Linked DNA regions of Canis lupus familiaris. The protein of the gene in region 2 interacts with the protein of the main gene of each other region in a pairwise test. Links are inferred from orthologs where the notes say so. Each region holds a gene or a part of one and is shown on either strand. Other genes may lie near its edges.

Region 1 (2,326 bases), on a different chromosome or scaffold from region 2:
TCACTTCAACACCGCGGGCCGAGGCTTGTAATCCTTTGGCAGAGAGGCAGGAGGGTTTGGTGGCACTTTGGGTCCCTGTAACCAGGTGCAAAGCATCAGCGCAGGGCTTCTACGGGAGAACAGACCCATCTGCTCACAGGCCTCCGTGGTTTGCGGTTGTAACACAAGAATGTTCTCTGTGTACTTTCCCCTTTTTTCGGTTGTCCAGAAGCACTGCAGCAGGAAGAGCAAGAGGGAAGCAGAAATGAGGACGTCCAAGAAAAGAGAGGAGGTACAGGCAGACCAGTGTGGCCAGTGCTCACGCACATCCCGGGTTGATGGGGTCTGTGCAGGCCTCCCTCCCAGGGAAATGGCAAACACGGCCTCTGCTGCCAGAGGAAGCCCCTCTCAGCCCCAGACCTGACTCTCCTAGCTGTGAATACCAACCCACCCCCACCTCCCTCTAGGAGCCCAGCCTGTCCCTCTCCTGCCACCCTCTCATCAACCTCCATGTCCTTTCAAACCTACTTTAGTGTAATAACTCAGGGGAGACATCTGGGTGCTCTTCCCATCACCACCTCCCCAGATACTGGGGTGTTTTGTAAGCGGGCCCCAGTAACCCCATGCCAGACAGCCCCCAAACCCACTCACTGCCTGCTCCTGGCCCCAGCTCTGTCTCTGACTTGACAGATCTTTTTTCTCCCAACTCACAGAGGAGAAGGGGACCAGCCCTCCCGACTATCGGCACTACCTTCGCATGTGGGCCAAAGAGAAAGAGGTTCAGAAGGAGACCATTAAGGATCTTCCCAAAATGAACCAGGTAAGCCCATTCAGAGCCCCCCTTGAACAGACATTTCCAAGGCTGGGTTCCCCGGACCCAAAAAGCTCCCTACCGTCTCTCCCAAAACCCCTGAAAGGGTGGAAATTCTCCTGCCTGCCTCCAACACCTGCTAGTCAGAGTCAGGGATGATTCCAGAGGGACAGGAGTCCACTTGCTTTGGAGCCAACTCCTGGTGATGACTTGTTCACATTTAATTGGGATCCATCCACTAGAATAGCTGTAGAGACTCACATGACCCCTCTTACAAGACAGCCTCACAGCACTCCTGTTCCTCCCCAGGGCCGGGCACAGGCAGGCGTCAGACCCCCCCCCATCCCCCACAGCTAACCCAGGCTGTGTTTGCTTGTCCTCACCATCTATTCTGATCAAAGATGTACGAAACTCAAAGTGATTCCAAAACACACTGAAGAAGTCCTTCAGTAGCCACCGACCAGGTTTGGAAAGTCATGGCAGAAATCAGTGTGGCTCTGCTAGCAGAGTGGACTTAGGGGCAGGGAAGAGACTATGCTCAAAGTAAAGGCAGTTGGAAAAGAAAGCTCTTCTGAGGCTATGTGATATCGGTCAAGTAAGCTTCCCACTCTGTGTCTCAGTGTCCCAGTCTGTGACGTGGGTGTAACAAGGCACAGGTGTACAGACAGCTAACAAGACTACAGAGCACGGGCAGTCTGGCTGATCTGAGGTCAGGCTGACCCATCTTCTCCCATCTCCCTGACCTTTTTTCTGTGTTTCGTCTGAAAAGGAACAGTTCATTGAGCTGTGCAAGACACTTTACAATATGTTCAGCGAGGACCCCATGGAGCAGGACTTGTACCATGCCATCGCCACGGTGGCAAGCCTGCTGCTCCGCATCGGTGAGGTGGGCAAGAAGTTTTCGGCGCAGCCGGGCAGGAAGCCCAGGGATGGTGTGCCCGAGGAGGACGAGCCCGTGGCCACTGAACCCCCACAGGACCCAGCCCCAGAGCTTCAGCCCCCAGCCACAGGGGATCCCCAGGCCAAAGCCGGGGGAGACACCCACCTCGGGAAAGCTCCACAGGAGAGCCAGGTGGTGGGCGAAGGGGGCAGCGGCGAGGGCCGGGGCTCCCCCTCCCAGCTTCTGTCGGACGACGAAACCAAAGACGACATGTCCATGTCCTCCTACTCAGTGGTCAGCACTGGCTCCCTGCCATGCGAGGACCTGGCTGACGACACGGTGCTGGTGGGCGGGGAGGCCCGCAGTCCTCCAGCCACCGCCCGCTGTGGCGGCGCTGTAGACACAGACTGGTGCATCTCCTTTGAGCAGATCCTGGCCTCCATCCTGACGGAGTCCGTCCTGGTGAACTTCTTTGAGAAGAGGGTGGACATCGGACTCAAGATCAAGGAGCAGAAGAAGGTGGAGAGACAGTTCAGCACCTCCAGCGACCTCGAACAGTCTGGAGTTTCAGGCTGACAGGGACCTGGCCTGTCTCTCTGCTTCCCCCTCCCCCTTCGTGTTCTCTTTTCTCCTTAAGGACGCACCCCTCTTGCTCT
Region 2 (4,290 bases):
TTCCAGCATACCTGAGGATCAGACAGCTACACACTCGCAGTGGCACAGAACTAAGTTTGGAGAGCAAGCAGGAGGATGATTAACTGAAGCTGAGCCTCAGCAGGGCCCACAAGCCCCTAGTGGAGAACGACAGGACTTATTTCATGGGTCATTTAAAGAAAACCTAATTTTAGGCTCATTTAGGTTCTAGTGATGGCTTAAGCCTAAGTAAATCCTGAACTGTTTTAAAGTATTCATCAGGGTCTGAGGCTAGATTTTTTTTTTTTTTTAAGTCCAACCTTGTTCTATTTTCTTAACCCAAAGTATATTCCCAGATACTGTAGCCCTTTCTTATTTTCCTTGAGCTCCTCATGTCAGGGAGCACAACATCCAGATTTCCAGTCAGGACCTCTAAGAGTTTTCTCACCTCCAAAGTTTAGAGTTCTGTAAGCAGCCAAGCAGGTGGCCAATGCTAGTAAACACTTCTCACCTGGACTGTGGGACTGTCTTATCCACAAACAGGAAGATTGCCTTTTCAGAAGGAAGCTGGATCCTTTTCCTGATGATCCACATGAACTGAGCCACAGTGATGTCAGATGGAACCAAATACTTCCGTTTGTCAATGTCGACAATCTGAGAGCCTGAGACTTTTTCCACAATCACCTGGGAAAGCAAAGAGAGATCAGGACTGGGTTTCTAAAGTGAGGCTCTGGCCTTGCATTGCCAGGGAGCTGATGAATACTATGTGGGCAAGGAGGTGGGTGGGAAACTGCACAACACTGGAAAATATGCCCCTGATTTAATAAACCACAAACTCTTAACTCTGGAGGTTAAGAACTGACATAAATGTATGATATGGAAACAGAAAGTGCTTTTCTGTGGTCAATTATGTTTATCATCCTGCATCTCAGCGAGCATAAGAGAAACACACGCCCTTACTACAAAGCTCTTCGACATTTTGTCTGGGCAGACCTGAGATACCTGGTTTCATCTACAGCCAGTTACTCCAAGACTCCAGAATGAATCTGCCTTCACACTACAGAGGAAGTAAGATCCCAAGGAACAAAGGGGAGAGGAATGGATGGACTAATGGGAATGAGTAAACCAAGCTCCTCATTTGGCCTGTTGCTTCTCCCTGAACTAGGTTTCAAATGTGTCCCTCCTAACCCCTCCTCAGAGTTTTGCTTGTTCAAACAAAGAGCTACAATAACAGACACGGATGTCCTCTAAAAATCAGTAAGAATTATAGAAACTTTACCCCTACCACGGAAGAAACAGGATCTTTATTACTGATTAAGGAGGAACCACGAAAGAAGGGAGTTCTCAGAGGCTTCTCAGATTTTTTTTGGTCAGCAAAGGATGACAGGGTCAGAGTGAGGAAAGGGAGCTAGAAATCAAGTAAAGACAGAGGCTCAAAGTTAAAGATGAGTGTCCTGAGACTAAAGTACCACTTCTAAGACCAAAGTGACAGTCTCCCTCCACCAGTGTTCCCAAAAGTGGCAGTGACCTGTTGCCCTGTCCTAGAACATCGTTCCTTACATAATTGGCGAGGGAGCCCAGAGGCTGCAGACAGCTCGCTGGCCTAGATCGGGAGATTCAGCACTGAGGCACCCTGAACAGCACCTGCTCAAGCCCCTCACGCCACGGCCCCCAAGGCCCCGAGCCCCGTCTGGCTTGTCTGCTCCTATAACTGGGACTGGAACCTCAACTTATCAACTGCTGAGTGGCCCGGGGCCCTATCGCGAGTCCTAGACGACGGGGTGACGACGAGGTGAGGGGGCGGGGAGTGCACTCACCGGAACGCGGTCGGGGTATTTCGCTCGGATCTTCGCGGATTCCACGCATCTGTGTTCTGTGGGAAACAGACGGGGCTGCCGGTCGCGCCTGCTCGTCCGCCGCTTCCCGCGCCCCCGACCCACCTCCCCCAGCGACCTGCGCACGCCCGGGTCCTTGTTACGGCGTCTCGGCGGCCTCGGTCCTCGGCCCCCGCCTCCCGGCAGGAGGGCAGAAGGCGGCACAGCGTCCGTGGGCAGCCGGCGGGGGCGCCGGGGCCTCCGCGACCCGAGGCCACAGCTCGGCATCCGCCCCGCCCGGCCCAGCCCAGGGCGGCCCGAGTGGGGGAGGGGGCCCACCCGCCGCCGCGACCCCCACCACCCGGCCTCTGACGGAGCCTTACCCAGCGAGTGGTCCTCCTTGAACATCCACTTCATGGCGACGGCGGGGAAGGGATGCAGCCGGCTCTCGGAGCCGCGGAGCTCAGCGAACCAACCACAACAACAACGACGGCAGCAGCGGCGGCGGCGACTACACGGCAGGCGGGACTTCCGGCTGCCGGAGCCTAGCAACCGGCCGGGGGCGGGGCTTCCGGCGCAGTTCGCCGGGACGCCGCGCCAGGGGGCGTGGCCACATTCAAAGGGGCGGGGCGAGCGGCGAGGCGGGGCGGGGCGAGGCGAGGCTACGAGGAAGTGGGGCTGATGACGTTGGCCACCCGGCAGTCCTGGAGGGGTTTCGGTGACGGGGAAGGGGATGCTGTCGGGAACTGCTAACAGGAACCGGGTCTCGGCGGACGTTGGTAACGGGAAGAGGAGTTTGGGGGTCTGGCTGATAGGATAGGGCGCTCAGAGGGCTTTTCATGAGGGAAGTCTCGGTGTCGGGAATTTTGGAGCATGAGTGACAGACGAGGGGTCTCTGATGGTCGATAATGGCGGGGTGGGGGAGATCTGTTTAGCGCATTGACAGTTTGGGGAGTATTGTTTGGAGTGGTAACAGGTTGGAGGGTGTGGCTAATTTGAGGGGCCTGTGTGGGGAGAGGTTCTGATGACAAGCCGGGGGTTCAGTATTGGAGACAGCCAAAACAGGTGGCCTTGGACCTAGAAATGGAATTTAAACAAAACCCTATTTCCTTCCTTTTTTCATGAATAAATAAACGTTTGACTAAACATGTAAGCACATGTATCACAAATAGACATTTGAGGAGCATAACATCTCACTGATCACAAAGAGACCCCTTAACCTTAACTACAGAGGACTTAGAGGTGACTGTCTGGCTGAGAGAATTCCCCTGAGAGTCATGAGACAAATTTCTTTGGCAGTCAGCATGGAGTTCAGCAATCACAGTCTAGGCTGTGCGTACGTGTGTCACCTGCCTGAGCATATGCCTTGAGTTCTCCAGTGATGTCACCTCTTTCTTCCTAGCAGAGTCATCAGGACAGTCTGCTCTGGGTCAACATCTGTTTACTAGCTGGTGAATATGTAACAAGAATATTCATTTAATTGGGCACATGATCCTTGTCATGTGCTTATGATTCTGATGCATCTGAAAGGATTGCATGTGTGAATATTGTCGTTCACCATTTCCCATAGTTGTAATTCCTGATGGATGCTGTGGAATCTAGCTTCATTCTAGAAGCATTTTGGTTATTTTAAGATTGTCTGAGCAACCAAAATAGGCTTTTGTTTGCTTGCTTGTTTTTAATGAAGTGAAAAGCCCTTTGAATTTCATACCTAGAAATTATTACTGCTGCATACAGGAGCACTGTTCTAGGTGTTGAGGAAAAGCAGTGAACAGAACATTCAGCTGTCAAGGAGTTTCTAGTGGGATAAGACAACAAATGTCAGGTAATGGTAGGCGCTGTTTAGAAAATAAAGCAGGGTTGGTGACGAGTGACAGTGGGGTAATGCTAATCAGGTAAAGTGGTTGGCATAATCAGGGACAGGAAGGAACCCCTTGTGGCTGGAGCTGAATTAGCAAGGGGGGGTATGTTAGAAGATGAGATCAAAGATATGTGTAACAAAGCTGTTGAGTTTTTTTTTTTTTTAAGATTATTTATTTATTCATGAGAGACAGAGAGAGAGAGAGGCAGAAACACAGGCAGAGGGAGTCGCAGGCTCCACACAGGGAGCCCGACGTGGGACTCGATCCCAGGTCTCCAGGATCAGGCCCTGGGCTGAAGGCAGTATTAAACCGCTGAGCCACCCGGGCTGCCCAGCTGTTGAGTTTTGAATTTCATGTGAAGAACTTTGGATGTTATTTAGAATGAAATGAGAAGTAGAGGATTTTAAGCAGAGGTGTGACATGGTATGGCTTTCCTTTTGAACTGAGCAGGCTAGCTTTTTTGTAGACAGACTCTAAGGGTTTGAGAATGGAAGTCAGGAAAACAATTAGGAAGCTATTGTGATAATCCAAGTGGAAGATGATGTTGGCCTAGACCAAGATAATGTCTGTGGGGATGGTGGGAAGCAATTATATTCTAGATATATTTTGAAGGTAGAGCCAACCAACAAAATTTGATGATAGATTGAATATGAAGT
Region 3 (4,358 bases), on a different chromosome or scaffold from region 2:
TCTGGAAGTAACATTTGTCATATCAAAAGTATCAGAAAAAAGTCTCAACCATGAAGAGTGAAAAATAATTTATACCCCTTCCTAACCACCAACATACAAGAAGAGAAATCAGCTGAAAATATGTAAGGTTCTCTGGACTGCTTCGGGCTACACAAAAAAATACTGTTTATTATACAAAAACAAAAAAATGAATACCCATATATCACAGCCAAAAACAAAAACAAACTAGGTGTTACCTCTTAGCCTGCCCATGGGAAGACACTACACTGCCAATCCCAGAAAACTGTTGGCATAACTACAAGTTGCCAAGCAATTCTCAACACAGACCACACTCTCTTAATATTTAATTTACACCGTGACTCTGTTAAACCTCATCCCTCTGACTGACAGATAAATACATAAACAATTCAAGTTATTAACTTATCTTTTTAAAAATTCCTAAGCACTGGGCAGCCCCGGTGGCCCAGCGGTTTAGCGCTGCCTTCAGCCCGGGGTGTGATCCTGGGGACTCGGCATCGAGTCCCACGTTGGGCTCCCGGCATGGAGCCTGCTTCTCCTTCTGCCTGTGTCTCTGCCTCTCTCGCTGTCTTTCATAAATAAATAAAATCTTTAAAAAAAAAATTCCTAAGAACTGATAAAGAGTGTGTGTAATCAAATAGCTGGAACTCCGGGAGTGTGTTCTGACTCCATCCCACCATTCCTAATAAAGCCTGAACAAATTTCAATACCTATGCTCTTTGGGCCGTCCTTACCAGAAAAGAAAGTGGAATCTTGCACAAGGGCCTACTAGTGCCTTGCACTGAACCCTATATGCCCTCTACATTCATTCAGCTAATCTAGAAAGGAAGTCAAAACAAGAATAAAATTTGATCAGTTCAAAGGGACTGGTAAGATTGTTAGATTAGATGTAGCATCTTCTAAGTTTTAAGTGTATAAAAATGTACAGCCCAGATACTTACAACGTTGGGCATGCAATAATAATAATAATCTGTTAATGTAACTAGGGCAAACATCTAGGCTAATTTTTTTCTTCTGGAAAAAAAATGACTTTTCGGCACACTGAAGCTGTCTCCGCTTCATCATGACAAAAATCATTTTGCCTAATCAAAACTGTATTAACATTGTACATTGCTTTCTGATGAATTTCTGTATCCTACTTGATGAAGATTTAAATAAATTCTTTTCCACCACAATGTTTTTCAGATGTTTAAGAAAGCTTCTGGTTTCTACATACAACTCCACATATACGACCTGAGTGCACCCAAAACTATTTTTTCAGTCTCCTTGATAACCATCAGATTTAAATTTGTCCATATGGATTCTCACACGGCAGGAAAGAGAAAAAAAAAAAAAAAGGTCTCCAGAAGTGAGCCCTAGACTGAGATTCATACAAAGATATAAATTCGTGCCTGCACTAAAAATGTGAATCTGTAAAATCAAGTTTCTGGGTGCTCATTCAACTTCATTTACAATTTGGATACCTACGAATACACATCAGCTCTTCACAAGAAGCTCAACCAGATGAATAATATAAGTCGGAAATATCACCTACGCTACTTTGCAAAAAAACTATTTCCACCATGTACGACCCAATCGTGGGGTTTTAGAGAGAGAGAGAGGGAATAGACACACAGAATAAAAGAAGGAAAGCACACTCACGGGGGGGGGGGGGGGAGAGAAAAAAAAAATTAGTTCTAACATTTATGTTCTCCTCCCTGTGCTGTGGAAGACCTCAGGCTCTAAACCAGCAAAAGATAAAGGTTTTAGCCTGCACGGGAGGCTGGATATTTACTGCATTTGCATTTAACCTCCACCGTGGAGGCTGTCAGCCAGCACCTGACTCGCTTGGTAACTGTTTACCTAACAGGTAGGAGACTGTCTTGCTAATCCTAAGGAGTCTGGGAAATAACAAAACTTTATCATCAAACTTTAAAATATGTGCATATACATATATATACATATATGCAAAAAGAAAACCAAAAGGTAAAAATCCCAGCCATGTTCATCTTCGATTTGCCTGTAAGTCCCTGCCTAACCTTAGAAGGAGGAGGAGGAGGAGGAGGAGGAGAGGCAGCACCTGAACACCGACTCGGCCCGCGAGCGTGGCTGGGGCCGGGGGCCGGGGGGCGGGGGGGCGGGGGGCCGGGGGCCAAGCTGCTCGCAGCCCGGTCGGGTCGCGGGGCCCGGGAACCCGCGCGCGTGGGCCGCGGCCTCGGCGGGGGGGTGCGGGGGGCGCGGGGGCCTCCCGGGGACGCCGCCTCCGTTGGAGACAATAAATAAGGGGCCGGAGCGCCGCTCGCCCCTGCACGGCCGCGCCTCCCGCCGGCGGAACAAGTCGGGCAGAGCCCCGAGCCGCCTCCCGCCTCCCGCCTCCCGCCTCCCGCCTCCCTCCCCGCCAGCGCCTCAACACTTGGAAACTACGAGGGCCGACGGCTCCTTCCCCTTCCCGCCCTCCTGCCCCCTCCGGACAGAGCCGGGGCGGGCGCGGGGGAGCCGGACCACGCAGCGCGGCGGCGGCGGCGGCGGCGGGGGATGCTGCGCGGCGGGGGCCCCGCTCGGAGCTCGGAGCCCGGGTCCCCCCCGCGCCCCGCGCCCCGCGCCCCCGCCGCTGCCCTCACGGGCTCCCGGCCTTCCCCCCCCCGCCAGGAGACAAAAGAGGGTTCAGCCGGGTCAGCGCTCGGCGCCGCGGACCCCAGCGCGGCCGCCCCCCACACAAAGGGGCTCCCGGCCCAGGGCGCAGCGTCGGCGCGCTCGTCCCCGCCCCGCGCGGGCTCTCACCCACCTGCAGGTGTCTGTGCGTCTGTCCATAGGAACGCGGGCGGCGGCGGGGGGGGCCGGGGGGCCCGGGCTGGACGGGGCGGGACCGAGGGGAGGGAGGGAAGGCGGCCGGAGGCCCGGGGCGCGCAGGCAGGGAGCGCGGGGAGGGCGCCGGGCGGGCGGCGGGCGGGGGCGGGGGCGGGGGCGCGGGCCGGGGGGGCGGGGGCCGGGGCGCCAGCCTGGCTCTGCGACCGGCGCGCGCCGCTCCGTGCGCCCCGGGCTCCGCGCGCCCGGCTCGGAGCTCGGAGCTCGGAGCGCGGCGGGCGGGGGGCGGGGCGCGGGCGGGGCGGGGCCGGCGGGCGGGCGGGGCGGGGGCTCGGACCCGGGCTCCAGCCGGCACCGGAAGCGCGCCGCGGGCCGCGAGACCCACAGGAAGTGTGTAACGACACCGCCGCGGAGCGCTCCGAGCTCGCGGCCGCCGCTGCCCGCGGACGTGCGCCCCGACCTTCCCGGCGGCGCCGGCGCGCACGGGCTCGCCCTCCGCGCCCAGGCAGGTGCGGCCGGCGCCGCGTGCGGGGGAGGGGGGGGGGGCGGGGGCGCCCCGGCCGGAGACCCCACGCCCCCCCCCCGCCCCGAGCCCCGGGGAGCGTCCCCCAGGCGCCAGGTGCAGCCCCGGCCGGTGACCCCGAGCACCGCCCCCCCGAGCCCCAGGGAGCGTCCCCCAGGCGCCAGGTGCAGCCCCGGCCGGTGACCCCACGCCCCCCCCCCAGCCCCGGGGAGCGTCCCCCAGGCGCCAGGTGCAGCCCCGGCCGGTGACCCCGAGCACCGCCCCCCTGAGCCCCGGGGAGCGTCCCCCAGGCGCCAGCTGCAGCCCCGGCCGGTGACCCCACGCCCCCCCCCCCCCCCGAGCCTCAGGGAGCGTCCCCCAGGCGCCAGCTGCAGCCCCGGCCGGACCTTGCGCCGCCCGCTGTAGCACCTGTCCTAAGGCACCGAGCGCCGGCACCTCTACATCCAGGTTCGGGAACACCTCCTGCTCGCGGGCAACCCAGTCACCGCTGCCCAGTGGAAGTTCCCAGTCCAACTACCGCACTCGCGTCCATCCCATGGCGGGGGGGGGGGGGGGGGGGGGGGGCATGACACCTAAAACACACGAGGACCACCGAGGCAGGCACTGATTCCCCGCCCCCCTACGCACCTCGGGACCACAGGGGCAAGGCTGGCGCCCCCCACCTTTATTTCACGTAGCAAACGCAGCACTTACTGTATGTGAGCGTCTCTAGGTGCTTAGGGACTATGCAGCTGCTTAATCCTAAGAACTCTATGCAGTGGGTGTTAGCACTGCCCGATTATGGATGAGGAAACTGAAGCGGAGAGGAGTTAAGACACCTGCCCAGGATCACAGAGTAGCTGGAGGAACCCGGATTCGTCCCAGGCAGTTTGGCGCCAGATTCCATGCTCTTAACTTCCTTTCTATTCAGTAATAGGTAGCTCCAAAATAATAATAATAATGGCAAGTAAATAATATGTAAAGCACATCTGATTAGCCATACGTGGTGCTCACAGCCTGGCCTCACCCCACTGTGACCAGGGAACCTCAGCCC
Region 4 (4,119 bases), on a different chromosome or scaffold from region 2:
TCATCTGTCCTGATATGTCTTATCATCAAAAACCTGTAACTACCTACAGCTGCATATAATCTCTTTAGCCTCCCATGCATATCCTGAACCTGATATGCTTCTCCTTAATGCATTCCACAATATTATTACAGAGTTCAGAGTCTGCAATGTTAACTGGTTAGGTTAATGCCTATTAACCATTCCTCCTTAACACATGCCACGATAGTACATCAGTTTTCTACCTTAAGAAAATTGCAGAAATTTACTGCACTGAGTCTAAAGTCATTGCAACAAACCACCCGTGTAATATTGGAGTCCTATTACACAGCTCCTGAGCCGACGACACCTGGCTGTAACCCAAACATACGTATTACTATAAAGACCACAGCTGCCAGTAGGGAAGTCAGCAACAAAGGCTCTGATGGGGGGGGGGAGCAGCAGCCAAGTCACAAGTACATCCCAGAGACCATGTCTCACAAGCATGTCTATCCTTTGCTTAACAGCATGAGCCATCAAAATTAAACTACTAACTTCCCCTGCTCTGTCTCTAGGCTTTCCAAGCAAACTTCTGCCAATTATGGGGCTTCTCACCAAGTCTGGCCTACAAGGAGAATGCACACAATGTGATAATTCTATCGCTTAATTATTCTTTTAGTGTCTTTTAAGATGGGGCTTTAGGCCCAGACTCCCATTAACCAATCAGCCATGGCACCAACGTGTGAGCTTATGTGAGCAGAGCACCAGACTCCATTATGGAGGATCAAGGTACAAACTATCTGTGGAGGATCAACTGAATAACCAGGGCCCTGACCAGGCATCTCTCTTCTAGTTGCAGGTCTTTTCATAAGCAGCATTAATAAGCACACATCATGAAGAAATACTGTACCTTTGCATCACAGAATCTTCACAATGCATGTTTCTACCATAAAATAGCATTTACAAAAAGGCATAAAGGAATGAACCTTGTTCTAAGGTACATATAAAACACAAATCAAAAAGCTTAATGCTTATCAAGTTTAAATATGTAAATATTTAATGTAAGATAAATTTAACCTAGAACTAAGGGAGAAAAATGATTACTCACAAGCTAAGCACTCCCACAAACGTCAAAAATTCTCCACGATCATGAACATTTTCAAGATAAAGGGCCATACTTGTTTGACCCTTGTTATTTGGCTAATCTTTTATTCCAAGAATAACAACTTGATCTACAGTAGCAATCATGTCATCATGCAGCCCAAAACATTAATTGGTTAGTTAGGTTAATGCTTAACTGCTTCTCCTTAATGCATTCCACAATATTATTACAGAGTAAGCAATTGGTCCTTCAATTCCAACTCTTCTTCAAAGTATTATAATAATCCAAATTAGTCCACAAAAATCAACAGAACCATTTGATTCACAATAATTTTCATTGAGAATTTTACACGGCTTTCTACAGAGCTCTCAATCCTAGAGACCAATTCTACTGTGGGAGTCCTCAAAGGTCTTTCCAGTTGTTAGCATTGCACAAGTAAAAATTATTTACATATAATTAGCCCTCAGATGGATCTTCCTTTTTACCCACTCTCACTGAATCAGATACACTACATTTGCTAAATGTGAGAAGGTGGAAAGTACGTAAAGAATCAAAGGAAGGGAGAGGGACCAGGGGAACAAGTGGTGGGCGTGGGGAAGCCAATCACCAAAACCACTGTCTCCAGACTGTAGATCACACCAATCATATCACAGAGAAGAGCCTCAAGGTAGAGCTCTTCTGGGATTAACAGTGTAAAACCACTGAATGCGCTCAGTAACTGGCCTGTTTACGGAAGGGCAGCAGTAAGGCTGCCAATGAAATCTAATGAAAAAGATGTTCTCACCAGCCAGTCACTCCACCCATTACAATCTGGGTGGCTACCGAGTATTTTTCAACCATAGGTCCGGAACTGTGGCCAAACACTCGATTCCACCAATGGTGTCTTCTTGCATACTCAGTTAAATCCAACACTTCATAAGACTCGTCATCGCTTTCATACTCTTCAAAATACAAAATGGAAAAAATAAATTTAGAGTTAACCAAAAGTCAGAAAGGTCCTTACATTTTTTAAAAAATCTGTCATTAACTGTTACTTTCTTACAGCTAAAAATGCCCAGATGGAAACCTTAGGTTGTTAAACCCCACACCTGAGACTAGGGCCTCAAGAGTAAAAGGGCCTAGCATCTCCCTTCCAAAGGCCCAGGGACCGGCCTAGAGGCCGGAGCCAGAGCCACGTCAGAGTTACACAGAAGTGAGGGGTCGCCTCCCCAAATGGCAGTAAGGCCAGGTCAGACTTTCACGGCATAAACGGTCGCCCCCAAATCTCAGTCGGGTCAGGGCCCGAGCTAGAGATCCATTTTCATCAGTGGGACAAAGAGGGGGTCCTCCACTGACAGAAGCGGTTAGGGGCCTGGCAAGATGAAATTACTTCAGTAATTCATCAGAAATGCCAAAAAGCACGTCTGAAGATGGAAACGAAGGGCCAGAGGGGAAGGTAAGGCAGGAAGCAGGGCTGTGTTGGGGTCGGGGGTCGCTCTCCGCCAGAGTTCAGCCGTAAGAGGAGGGCGTCTAGTTCTAAAGGGGTGCGTCCAAAAAAGAGCCCCTGGATCCCTGGGGCAGGGGAAGAAGAGGCGCCCCCGGGGGCAAGGTCGAGAGCTGTGAGCCACGTCCGAGATACTACTTCGGGCCCCGGCCGCTCACCTTGGGGAGGGGGGTTCCGGGTCGCCATGATACCGCCGGCGGCCTGCTCTGAAGGTGGTCCCCACCCGCCCTCCTCTCCCCACTACTTTAAGAGACCTTCTAGGCCCAGGTGAAAGTCTATGGTCTCTTTCTTTCCTCCTCCCCTTTCAGGCGCGTTGTGTCGTCCCCGCCCCTCCTCTCAGCGCAGGATTTTCCGCGCAAGCGCAAGCCTCCGGGTGGGAAGCGTGGGGGAGGGAGGGGAGCTGCCGCGCGAGGGCTTGTGGGAAGTGTAGTCCGTTGCCCTCCGCAGTCCTCGCTTCTCACCCCACCCCCATCGCTCCTAGAATCTCAGTAACTATATTTTGTGATTCTGTTTTAAAGAGCCTCAAGGCTGGAGGAGAGGCGGCGTCACATGATGATATAAAGCGAAAAGCAGCTTGGCATGCTCAACACTGTACCAGAATGCAAGCGCCTGAGAAAAAAGGCTTTTAAAGGGAGATAAGAGAAACCGTGTTTCAAACCGCACTTTTTGTACGGAGGCAAGGGCACGACAACAGATGGAAAATTTTTGTAACGTGCTGCTGCTGGGAACGGGAACCTGTTTATCCGCTCCCTCTCCACATGTTTCCTGCCAGGAACCCAAGGGAAGTAGAGAAAGGCCTAGGGACTGACCTGACACGATGTTCAAGAGGACATAATTTTTTTTTTTTAGCATCATTTTTATTATTTAAGTCTGACAGAGGAACGAGGTCAGGCTCTTCACCCAGAAGCCCCACCAGATTCGAAAGCCGTGTTGATTACCAAGCAGCTAACTCAGGTTCATATAAACCGGTCCCTAAACCTGTTTCGAACTTGCAGGACCACCTGCATTTGCTGTACAATTAAAAAAAGCCCTCTCTGCACTTGTTTTAATGGAAAAACAAGGAATTCAGGTACAGGTTGTGTAGGAGCGCAGGGCAAGCTGCCCCCAAATGTACTGCGCTGGCATATTGATTATTTTGAATTGAATCAACCCAGGAAACAACCTGGTACAAGTACACTCAGATCCTCCTTTGTCCCCCACTGAAAGCAGGAAATAAATTTCCCGTGTGAAAAATGCCCTCCCTGTACTAAGTAAAAAGACGTCCTTATCACCAGAGATAGGAACTTTAAAGTGGAGAAAGCTGGAGAAATGAGCCTTGTTATTTATTTTTTTTTCCTAATCTACTACCTCACTCAGCCCAAATTCTGTTCAGAATTCCTTACTAACTAAAGCTCCCAAACCCCTATTTTCTTTGTCCTGTCAATTCCTCAGGAATTTCTTGTCTCTGTCTAAAATATATCAAAACTGCCAGCCTTGGTCATTTCTTAGGGTCTCAATTTCATTATTGGACTTCCATGCACATGTAATAAAACTTTTTTTCTTAACCTCCTGTTCACCTGTCTCCTATGAATTCAACTCC

Evidence for each region.
Region 1: the proteins of GABARAPL2 (region 2) and TBC1D9B interact in binary tests that used the Homo sapiens proteins (3 or more experiments, as listed by UniProt). The link is inferred for Canis lupus familiaris from reciprocal best matches to the Homo sapiens genes GABARAPL2 and TBC1D9B.
Region 3: the proteins of GABARAPL2 (region 2) and KIAA1958 interact in binary tests that used the Homo sapiens proteins (3 or more experiments, as listed by UniProt). The two-hybrid records come from large-scale screens. The link is inferred for Canis lupus familiaris from reciprocal best matches to the Homo sapiens genes GABARAPL2 and KIAA1958.
Region 4: the proteins of GABARAPL2 (region 2) and FUNDC1 interact in binary tests that used the Homo sapiens proteins (3 or more experiments, as listed by UniProt). The two-hybrid records come from large-scale screens. The link is inferred for Canis lupus familiaris from reciprocal best matches to the Homo sapiens genes GABARAPL2 and FUNDC1.

What each region holds. Positions count from the first base shown.
Region 1 is NC_049232.1:2,093,259-2,095,584, forward strand, and holds part of TBC1D9B (TBC1 domain family member 9B), read left to right. Parts: intron 1-208; coding exon 209-271; intron 272-692; coding exon 693-799; intron 800-1,559; coding exon 1,560-2,246; 3' UTR 2,247-2,326. UniProt on the Homo sapiens protein: May act as a GTPase-activating protein for Rab family protein(s).
Region 2 is NC_049226.1:75,815,067-75,819,356, forward strand, and holds the start of GABARAPL2 (gamma-aminobutyric acid receptor-associated protein-like 2), read right to left. Parts: upstream 2,805-4,290; 5' UTR 2,190-2,804; coding exon 2,156-2,189; intron 1,832-2,155; coding exon 1,776-1,831; intron 643-1,775; coding exon 470-642; intron 1-469. UniProt on the Homo sapiens protein: Ubiquitin-like modifier involved in intra-Golgi traffic. Modulates intra-Golgi transport through coupling between NSF activity and SNAREs activation. It first stimulates the ATPase activity of NSF which in turn stimulates the association with GOSR1.
Region 3 is NC_049232.1:67,371,564-67,375,921, reverse strand, and holds the start of KIAA1958 (uncharacterized protein KIAA1958 homolog), read right to left. Parts: upstream 2,842-4,358; 5' UTR 2,783-2,841; intron 1-2,782.
Region 4 is NC_049260.1:38,703,748-38,707,866, forward strand, and holds the start of FUNDC1 (FUN14 domain-containing protein 1), read right to left. Parts: upstream 2,858-4,119; 5' UTR 2,727-2,857; coding exon 2,699-2,726; intron 1,999-2,698; coding exon 1,842-1,998; intron 1-1,841. UniProt on the Homo sapiens protein: Integral mitochondrial outer-membrane protein that mediates the formation of mitochondria-associated endoplasmic reticulum membranes (MAMs).